2 linked regions of the Xenopus tropicalis genome follow. The protein of the gene in region 1 binds, or shares a complex with, the protein of each later gene. Links are inferred from orthologs where the notes say so. Each region holds a gene or a part of one and is shown on either strand. Other genes may lie near its edges.

Region 1 (5,731 bases):
GTAAGGGTGCACTGGTGGAACTTTTTGTTGGACTACATTTGCAAGGTCATGCTAAATGTTCTAGTTCAACAACATCAGGAACCTGGATGTTTGACACCCCTGATATAAAGTGTTGCTCTTGCAGCCCCAGAGTGGCACTGTCTGCAAATGCTGGTTTGAGAGTGCTATAAGGCATGATGACTGCTGTAATTTCCCTTTAATCGTATCCCCACAGTTATGCATATACCTGAATGGCTTGAGTTTATATCAATAATAACCCCTTCTAATACCCCTTGCAATGCCTTCCAGCTAACCAACCCAAAAATGACGTAAGGCATTCCTTTTCCTTTGAAAGGTTTCTTGTTTCTGGGACCTATGACACTGCACTAATATTTATTAAGCTACTACAAAATACTGTAGCACAGGAATGTTGGTGCTCTTGAATCATAGTAAAACCCCTCAGTGCTACTAAAGTATGCAGATACATGTAAAGCAAATATACAAGGCCACATGTGGCACATACTGTCGCACAAGTACTGTATTTATTCTATATTCCTGTGCATATAACACACACCCCCTTTGTGCAGTGTTTTAAATTCACTGCTGCAGTTGCAGATAAATGACAGACATTGGCCTTTACCAATTAAAATGTCTTTTACCTCATTTAGAATTCTAAGCTGCGAACTGGTAAGCCAAAGGGGTTAAGTGTGAGAAGGGAAGTAATGTCCTTTTCTGAGCTGCCCACTGGGATTATCATCTTTCACCCATTCAATATCTTACAACTCTACAAGTTAGAAGGAAATCTAGGAATCTGCAGGTCTGTGGGAGGGTCCAGGAACAGCATTACCAGGATGGGCAGTAGGTTTTTTTTTTTTTAAATCTGGAACTAAAATTTGTGTTTATAATGGAGGTCTTATACATTATGCACATGCCTATGTGTTCTGTTATAAAATCATAGTTTCAAAACAAACTGAATTTTGGAATAAGTGTAATTCTTGTGTACATAAACAAGACATGGAAACAATTCAAAGTACAAATGTTTTATTGCATCAAACAACGCAGTTTTATCAATGATCAGTTAAGGCTCCCCCTCTTTGAGGGAATACTTTACATATAGATATATACATATATATGTACATACAAATATGTATATATGTGTGTGTGTATATATATATATATATATATACATACACACGCACACACATAGATACAGGGTACATATGGATAAGAGGCAAATGACCTACACCAGTCACAGAATAATAGCATTCAGTAGTCCTTTATCTTTGGTTAATGGTTTGCAGTTTTATTGTCTCCCATAGTCTTCCCTTTTGCCATGATGTCTCTACATATCTAAATCCACAGTTTTAGTGGCAATGCTGCATACCTCAGAGTATAGGTGAACTACAATTCCCAGAATCCTCAGTCAGTCACTGGCTGTTTGGGCACACTTTGAGTGATAGTTCACTAAAGCCATAGGGGCATAAAAGGAAATCTACATTTAACCCTACAAGTTGATTATTTGCTTCTTTATCAACTGTTCTTTTACCTGCTTTTAACCAGTTTACCTCCAGTTCTATGACATTCTCACAAGGCAGTGAATTGGTTAAATAACATTGCAATTACATTGCATTCTGAAATGACCATTAACAGTGTTAAAAGTGTAAGCTCTGTGATATCATACAAGTGCTTTAACAAGCAAAATATATACAGGAAAGTAAAAAAAAAACATTAGCAAATACAAAGAAGAAATCTAGCAATATACAGCATGTGTTAACCCATTGGATACCCAGTTACCTCTTGCATCAATAACAAATTCAGTAAACTGCATCTCCCACCCTGTCCAACCAGCTCTCCTGTTTTTTGGAGAGGGACTGAGTAAGAATGTCTCATTCACTAAGGTGTGTCTGTTATTCTCAGGAAAAGCCAGACATCCACTAAGTGGGGGCATTTTACAGACTCCAGTGATATGATCCAGTAGACTGTGCAAGTCCCTGTTCTGTAATCAGCAGATGACCTTCCCTTTGCAGCAACAAGAGATAACGTTCAATTAACCCTAAAAGTCTTAAGAAAAAAGTCTCTGCCCCCACAGCCCATCAAATTTCCCTTTTCCCAATCAGACTTTTGTTGCTAGCGAATGAATTTCAGATTTTTGAGTCTGTGCACTTAAACTGGAAGAGGTGTTGCTGAGATGTCCTTGGAGGGCTTTTTTAAATCCAAAAAAAAAAAAACATTGGGAGCGAAATCGCAAGTCAAAGAAGGCATAGAGGAAAGGGTTTAAGCAGCTATTAATGTATGCCAAGCAGGTGGCATAGGGGTGCAAGCTGACAATGATGTTCTGTGTGGAGCAAGACAGTTCCAGGAAGCCCATGAGGTCTAGAAAGTGAATGGTTTTCAGAATATGAAAAGGCAGCCAGCAGATAGCAAACACCACAACCAGAGTAATAATAATCTTAAGAAGCCTCTTTTTCTTCTGTTCCTCCTTCTTCAGGTTTTGGAAATGCATGGTCACCTTGCCACCAATGAAGCAGTAAAAGATGGTCATAAGGAGCAGGGGCAGCAGGAAACCTGGAACTGTGGTAAGGATGCTAAGCCCCCCAATCCAGAAATTTTCATTCTCCTTACTTGAAACACCACTGAAGTCCAGGTCACAGATGGTATTATTGCCTTCTACACGTGTGTCACGCAGAATCAGACTTGGGAGTGCCAAAAGCCCTGAGAAGAGCCAGATAACAGCCAAGGATACAAGTATGGAGGAGCGAGAGCGAAGTTTAGCACTGGAAAGTGAATGAACAATGGCCAGGTATCGATCAAAGCTGAGGCAGGTGAGGCAAAAGACACTGGCAAACATATTAAGCAAGACCAGATAGCTGCTGAGCTTGCACAGTGCAGAACCAAAGGGCCAGTGAAAGCCTAAAGCAGTGTATGTGGCCCACAGAGGCAGTGTTACCACAAAAGCCAGGTCAGCCAGTGCAAGATTACCTATGTAGGTGTCTGCAGATCTCCTCTTTGGCTTGGCCTTCCATACTGTAAATATGACCACTCCATTGCCTGAGAGTCCAAGGACAAAAACGATCATGTAAAAGACAGGTAGCAGAGAGTAAGAGAGATCCCAGTCTGTTTCATCACATGGTGGTAGTCCACTCTCATTTGTGTAATCATAGTAGTCGTATGAAGGAGTAGTGCTGCTGCTGAACTCATCTGTTGCCATCTTTGAAGGCTGAAGTGAGGAAGCAATGTAGTCTTGTTCTAGAAGCAGAGCAGAGGCCTCCAGTCTATATAGTGATGCTGTGAGATATGAAAGCTGCCTCCACTCAAGTTCTTTTAAGAATCCCCTGAACTCCCCACCCCCTAAAAGACAAATTAAAGGCAAAAGACCACCCACTGACATCAATCAGGAGCCTATCCATATTATTTCAGCTCCACCCCTCTCATTGCTTGGGCTGTGACCCTCCCTAACTGGGCATAGCCTTACCTCCCCCCTAACACTCCACACCTCTGACTACTGCTTGCATGTGCCCAGAGACAGCATACATTATAGATGCTCTGTGTGGATATCCCTTAAATACAAGTTAAACCCTCTAAGATAAATATGTGTATATTTGTGTTTTATTGTTCGCTTTGTCTGAAAACTACTGAATGTATTACCCTTAGAATGCTCAACTATCACTCTCTATTATCAGGCTCTCTATCAAATGTTTTTTCTGTGACTTTTTGGTGGCAATTCCTTTTTTAAATATGCACAGAAAATACAGTATGAAGAGATACTGAAGTGTCTTTGTTTTTTCCTTCCCAATATACATTGGAGGTTTCCAGTCTCCATTTGTGTGTTTTACAGTCTGTTTGACACCTCTGTCTCACACTTCTCTCTCTGTCTTTCATTCCCATTTCATTAGCCCTCTGCTTGCACAAATTGTTTCAAGTCAATAATAAGGCATCCCCAGCTGTGTACAGGTTCAGCAGCATTGCACTTAATAGCTTATTTCTACCCAGGGACCCACTTTTGATGTCATAATTAGACAAGGATGCCTGAATTATTGCAGAAAAATAAATGTACAAATTTCTTTATATTTCCTCAGTTCAGCCACAATTAATTATTTGTATATAGTAAGAAAGACATTAGATTGTATGGTATGTATAGTATAGCAGGATAGTAAGAAAGACATTACATCATCTGATAAACATTCTGCCATTCAGATACATAAACATGCAAAGGAACAAAAGAAGGAGTACAATTCTGACATAAGGTCACACACACGCATGCTATACAAATGTAAAAATGTACACTGAACATGCCCAGACACACTGCTACACACACAGATTGTAAGCTCTGTGGGACAGGGGCCTCTTTTCTCTTGTCTCTTTAACATTTAAACTTGAATCTAACTGTGTTTTGTATTTATCTTATTATTGTATTTACATCTTGTTTGTTCTCTTAATTAATTGTTCAACTGTAAAACACTGCATATACAAGTAGCTCTATATAACTCAAAGGGATACATTCACACACACACAATCATTGATACTGTAAATGTATTATTCTATGTTGTCCAAGGAAAAGTATTCTTATACCCATTCCATCAGCTTCATAATATACCCTACATGCTTGCTGCACTTATAAATGTCCTAAACCTTTGATAGTAACTTCTTCCTTAGGAGGATTCTGAGTGTTGTAGTTCAACAAAAGGGTGGAGGGCAGCAGGCTGGACCTTACTGATTTATGTCATCCCCCCACCCCCCATCAGATGGGGCTTCCTCTTCTCTAACTCTGTTCCTGCATGGGTGAAATCATGGTGCCTTCTTGTGCTAACAGACTCTTGCACATTTTCCTTCAGCTAAAGCCACTTCGGCCATTGCATTTGTCTATGTGGCTCTAACTGTAACTTCTAATGTGGAATTCAAATATCATTTTTTTATTGCATTAATGTTTTATTCTAAATACTGGAAACTTAAAGTGTTATTTTGCAAATATTTTGACGATGACATTGGCCATCTTAATTCCCATAAAATGGTGTTAATTCCTGGGTCTAAAACAAGCCTGGACGTGTATGTTTTCACACCTCATTCTCTTTAATGCACCTTTCACAGGTTATTTTTGTGTAGATGGCCTGAAGCATACAGCCCATTCATACTGAAGGATCCAGTACCAGTTGGAGAATTCTAAGGTGTGAAATGGCTTTATTGACTCTGAAAGAATCACTTTAGGAAGAAGATGTTCTGCCCAGACAAAGCTTTGATGTCTCCTGTTGATTTGCCCAAAGTATCAGCTGTTATACTGTGAATATTCCAAACACAACGGGTTTGTTTTCTTCCATGGATTAGCCCCTTTTGGCCTATATCACACCAGACATTTGTCAATCATAATGCAGGTGACTAGCCATGGGTTGCTTCCAATGGACCCAACTAAGAAAATTCAGTAGGAATCGCTGTCATATTGATCACTGAAGGAAGCAGAGACAGTCAGACCGATTGGAGTGGTGACACAGACCTTAATATATGTTCTAAATATGTAAAGTGCAATATTATGTTATTTAGTGCTCCTAGAGGCAGAAGTTGCTCCTTATAAATAAAGAGAGAATCTAACAAATATATTTATTTTTGCCCAGAAAGGTGGAGGATTTTTGTTTTGCAGCATATATATCTGTATGTGATTTAACATGAACGCAAAAGAGTAAGCAGGTTTATAAGGACTTATTGTGGGCACCGAATATTCCTTCACTACAAGGGCGTGCTGGGCATTTGGAATATCACATTT
Region 2 (5,488 bases), on another chromosome or scaffold:
GTTTCAATTTCTCCCATTGAGAGTTTTTTTATAACAATGTATTTGACATCTCTCTATCTTTAGATATTGAAGACTAATTCTAACAATAAAATGTGGATGAAGCATAGGGTTGCTGCCAATGGAAATAGTTCTATTCAGTTATGCTCACATTTATTAAGACCTTCAGTTGCTCTTTATAATGATATGATCCCAGTACCAGCACTTGCTAGTCCACCTCAAATAGATAAAGTCCATGCAATATTAGGTTTCCTTTCCAGTAGGCGCACCAGGCTGTGACTAACTGCCTATGCTATTATATGAATATTGAATATTGAGTCTAAAGAGCTAAGCCTTGGCTTTGCCAGTGAGCGTAAGTGATTTTGCCTTCCTTGAAAAAAGAAATGAGCAGCATTTATAGTCACCTACTTCCTATTAGTTCCTGTTGTACACTGGAGTATGCCAATGCCTACAATAAAGAGACATTTCTCCAAGCTTTGGGTTCACAATGCAATGCAACATCATGGGCATGTCAGCACAGTGCAGTTGCTTGAGGGTAGTATGGACCATATCAATGCAGCCTCAAGGTAATTGTTTAAACGACTGGATATGTTGGTTCTTTGAAGATAGTGTACCTTTTACATATGTTAATTTGCTTGTGGCTTCCCTATCTTCCCTATCAGTCACGGAAACCAGTTTCCTTTGCAGTCTGCCCTCTTCCTATGATTTCATGTCCTTTTCATGAGTAAAAATAGTTTTGTTGAATTAGGGAATGGACAGAGGGATGTCTGAAACTGCAAGAGCTGAACTTATGGACTTTCAGCATGTTACAGGTCCTGATCTCCAGAGTGGGACTGCCATGCCACCAGCAGGAAAAATAAGACTAGATGTGGGAGCAGCTGGGTGATTGTGCCTCAGGCAGCAAATAGTCTTGGACCACCCCTGTGTGCTATGAATTATTCATTGATGCTTAGAAGTAATGTAGCCAAGGTAGGGGGTTAATTCTCAAAATGAGCAGAACAATAGGTCACAACTTATGTCTTTGAACTGACCTTCCGTGGCTGACCCAATGCGCATACATTCATTGTGCTACAACAGGTCACTTCTTGAATTGCCCAAATTCATCCTAAGATCAGTAATTAGTACATGCCCATTAACCCCTTGGCTGCCATTGCTAAGCGTAGAGAGATAATAAGCCTGCAGCCAGTCATACAGAACAATAACCAACACTTCCATTTGTAAAACTTGTTTGCTTAAGGATTAAGAGACTTGGCTGCATCTTATTCAGTGTGGGTTCATGATGTCTGAGTAAGGCAAAGTCTGTCTAACAACACATTTGATTTACATATAAATGATATCAGTGTATGTGACTGTAATATTGATGCTGATTAAGACTAATAGTTTTTTTATTATAAGGTTTACTGTATTCCAAAATAAGTGCTTTATAATACTACCAGTGTGTGGTTGACAGTAATGTTCATAGTCTTGCCATCTACTAGTTTTATTTGCTTTTCTATCCCACTTGCTACATTTCTCTTTACTCCACAAATGAATTTTAAAGCACCCAAGGGCCTTGTTGGTGTGGGAACACAGAGTGATTAAGAGCTTCAAACTGTAGTCGATTTACTGTAGGCAAAGCCAACAACCCTCCCGCATACTGACCACATGGCTGGCATCATATCATCATCCAACATTCAGTAATACTGATAAAGAAAGTCCTAACCATATCAGTCATACCCTTTCAAGGGTCCATCTGTGTCAGCTCAATCCTACCCTATACTGGTGAACATATCAGTTATTGACATACACACAGCATGTCATTTAGGACAATAAATGTAATAATGCAATCCAATTTCCTAAGTGATGCCTCTAATATGCCGATAAATTATGAACTTGGAGATAAAAAGGAGTTGCCCTCGTTGAATGAAAATGGCCCCCTGAGCAACACTAATATCACTAGGAGCCAGTAAGCCCCACTTCCAGGTGTGCGGTAAACACCATCGCATACCACAACTTAGTGTAAACAGGTGACATCCTGTGATTTATTAACTCCTCTATTGACACAGCCCCTATCTGATCTCAGAGAGAGCTCTTTTATCAAGGTATCCTGCAAGAATCTGAGCCAGGAGCAAGTGCACAAGACACTTTAGCCAGAAAACTAAATACAAGCATTATTTTCCATCTTACAACTGAATATAAGCAGGACCATGCATCTCCCATAGTAATAGCTATAGCTTAATATAAGGCTTTAGATATATATGTCACCAGATTAAACATAAAAGCTACTGAATGCCTGAAACATGTAACATACAATACAATGCATTCTCACGTCTACAATATTGATATTTCCATATGCATTCAACTGTACATTCAGCTGAACTTTAAGATTAGCCATTAGTTAATACCATGTGCTGCAGGTATCAGTACAGCACTTAATATGCAGTCAGTCAGTGCTGCAGGTATCAGTTAACTCCAGGCTTAATGAAAGATCTATGCTGTAGGCATTAGCTAATAAAGCATTAAACACAAGGTCAAGGTTGCAATTAATACCACATTTAATAAAATATTTTAGATTAGTTAATGCTAGGCTTAATTTTAGATCTGCGGTGGGAGTTTTAGAGTTAGTCATTTACATATGCCTAATAAAACATCTGTGCTGCAGATACCAGTGAATACAATGCTTCATAAAACATCTGTGCTACACTAAGTTAATGCCATGCTTAATTAAACATCAACACCACAGGTAATAGAAAATACCATGCTTAGTAAAAACTCTGTACCGCAGCTATTAGCTATTATGCCTAATGAAAGATATACATTGTGAGTAAAAGTTAATACAGTGTAAAAGTTAATACAGTGCTAAATTCGTTATTCTGCAGGTTCTACTTGTGCCTTTTTTGCACCCTGTTACACCAAAATGTAATGATTTTGCTTTTGAGCACAATACTTATGCATCTCATTTTTAAAGTACACTGGTTATACTGGTATCTGATTCCTAGTAGTTAATAATTAATCCCTTATTGCATTTCTTCTAACTCCTAATGCTAAACTGTTAGCTCTTCAGCACAGCTCTCCTTGCAGTATTTCTTTATAAATGTTGCATGTGGCTACAATGACTGTTAAGTACAGGGTGCATTATAGAAATAAGTATAAATATAGAAATATAGTTTTTATTTACATGATATATATATATATATATACACAGTAAGGTTCAGAAAGCAGACTCACCTCCAAATGCTGAAGTCAAGGTTAAAATGAAGAGCAGAAGCGCCAGTGCCCAAAGTCTGAGATTCATGTTTCTTGTGGCTGAGTGCGAGCGAGCAGAACTGTGCTGAATCCAAGAAGCGAGCTGTGTGTATTGGAAAAGCCTAACTCCTTCCAGAGGGAGCTCTAGTCTGCCAGAGAATGCTCTCACATACTACAGGGGCTGCGTTTTGTATTGGAGAGTCTGGCTTGGTCATGTGGCCAGCAAGGAAGAGGGGGGGGGGGAATCCTCTCCTCTATTTTTTTTTTTTTTACACCCATAATGAATTGAACTGAGTAACACCGCATAGGACTAACAAAGCACTTGGCTTTGACAAACATATTACAATACAAACTGGATGCCTGCCAGATTGTTTGCAGCTATTTAGATTTCAATTTGAAAATATTCAAAACATAAAATAAAACTGAATGCAAACCTGGGTGAATTTGACTAGGGGTGGTAATTAAAATACACTTTAATATAATATGGTCATTATAAGTGAATGCAATTTTCATACATTTATTTGATAATCTTTCAAATTATAACCCCATTCCATTATTTTGTAGGTTCTGCTGATTTGCAATCTGGTTTATTTAAGGATCCTCAGCCCAACATATATATATTTATATTTAAAGGAGATTTACCAGGGAACTTGTGCCAATACATTGCACCTGGCACCAATTACGTTTTGACGAAATGCGGGTAATTGTGTACAATGTGTTGCACCCAAGGGAACTACTGCTTTAAGGACATGTTATTTTCAGGGTTCACGTGGCATTGCATATTGTGCCAACACACATCCAATAAATCCCATATTAACTTTTTCCTAGGAATGCTGGAAGCACCAACCAGGGAAAAGCAACACCACAACTTCAGTACTTTATATCCTCATTGGTAAATCTTATGAAAGTGTTGGAACATTCTATATTAGCCATATTAAAGAGAAAGAGAAAACATTGTTCATTGTGAGTAAAAACATGCCAATCTGCATTAGTAAGTTAGTCCATTGACTTATTTAATCAAGTGCATCTTTAAAGTCTTCAGACAATACACAGTTGTAAACAGTATATATATTTTATCAAATATTGCTTGCAGGTACAATATATATTCTGTACATTTGACAGTTTTCTGATGTCCATTATTGCCCCATTGGGATGTATTTTCACTGGGAGTGTTGACTTGTCAAAGTGCTGGGGGACAGGAAAATGGCATTTTGTGCCTCATGGAGTAAGATATACAGGTAAATGTTTGTCTTGACTTTTCTGTCCAGTCATAAAAAATATACCCCCTGAACCAGCAAAAAGACATATCTCTGTGAGATGCTGAAATATTATGGAGCTCTTATACCAGACACTTCAGTTACCAGAGCTCATCTGTATCCCCTGTAAGTGAAAACAGCCTGTGTTCTACCAAGTGGAAATGTAATTAAAGGTAACAATAACCAGTAATGTGGTCACTCATTATTATTCACAAACCAGACTTTATTATGGACCCACTATTAAGCACTGCTACATTTGATTCCACTGCTGAGAAAAATAGCTGTCCTGATTTGAAAATATGCCTGTTGCTTCCCTTTGAGTGAATCTTACAGCCAGCATGAATAGGATACTTCTGATAGAAAGATACTTGGGGGCTCTCCAACACCGGACAAGGTTCATGGATCTAAGATGAGTTTTTATTGCTTTTCGTACATATTACAGTACTGTAAGCCACAAAGCAATTCCCGCCCATCAAAATGTTATTAAAGCAGAACATAATAGTTGTTAAAACATTTCCTGCATGAAGGCACTTATATAGTGAGTGATTTATACTGCAGCCCTCAGAATATAGGCATTCTGCATACATCAACTTGGAATTAAAGATATGGCAAATAAAACCAGCAAAGTTAATGTGTTTGGAAACTGCATGTAAACACAGCCAATCAGGAAGGACTTGTTTAATTATTAGTATGGATTTTTGTGTACATTCCTTTAGTGAGCTGTGGGAGTATAGCTAGCTTGTATTTTCAACTGTCAACCTATTTAATTATCTCTCCACTGACAAATGGAAGCTACCACTTTACCAGCTGACACCCAAGTCTGTGATATACCCTGTGATTAATGCTGATTCTTATGTGTGTTTTGAGATATGAATAAAAGGGAGAGTACAAAAACTGGTATAATTGGTATTTAGTTTATTCACAACAATTCAATGGATTTCTGGGCACAACAATATTATTTTAAATGTCAGCTCAGACCTTAAAAATTGCTGCTATGAACGCAACGTGGT

Evidence for each region. Proteins that work in one complex are often made in the same cells at the same time.
Region 2: the proteins of aplnr (region 1) and apln are in contact, whole or in part, in a cryo-EM structure (PDB 8XZG), measured with the Homo sapiens proteins. The link is inferred for Xenopus tropicalis from reciprocal best matches to the Homo sapiens genes APLNR and APLN. Residues at the interface, in NP_005152.1 of Homo sapiens: Tyr35, Phe78, Trp85, Tyr88, Thr89, Tyr93, Ser106, Ile109, Phe110, Met113, Pro163, Val164, Arg168, Gln180, Cys181, Tyr182, Met183, Tyr185, Glu194, Glu198, Leu201, Gly202, Ser205, Tyr264, Lys268, Tyr271, Ser275, Cys281, Asp284, Leu285; in NP_059109.3 of Homo sapiens: Arg66, Pro67, Arg68, Leu69, Ser70, His71, Lys72, Gly73, Pro74, Met75, Pro76, Phe77.

What each region holds. Positions count from the first base shown.
Region 1 is NC_030677.2:143,793,574-143,799,304, reverse strand, and holds aplnr (apelin receptor), read right to left. Parts: upstream 3,260-5,731; 5' UTR 3,188-3,259; coding exon 2,093-3,187; 3' UTR 1,004-2,092; downstream 1-1,003. UniProt on the Homo sapiens protein: G protein-coupled receptor for peptide hormones apelin (APLN) and apelin receptor early endogenous ligand (APELA/ELA), that plays a role in the regulation of normal cardiovascular function and fluid homeostasis.
Region 2 is NC_030684.2:52,324,854-52,330,341, reverse strand, and holds the start of apln (apelin preproprotein), read right to left. Parts: upstream 3,370-5,488; 5' UTR 3,272-3,369; coding exon 3,205-3,271; intron 1-3,204. UniProt on the Homo sapiens protein: Peptide hormone that functions as endogenous ligand for the G-protein-coupled apelin receptor (APLNR/APJ), that plays a role in cadiovascular homeostasis. Functions as a balanced agonist activating both G(i) protein pathway and beta-arrestin pathway of APLNR.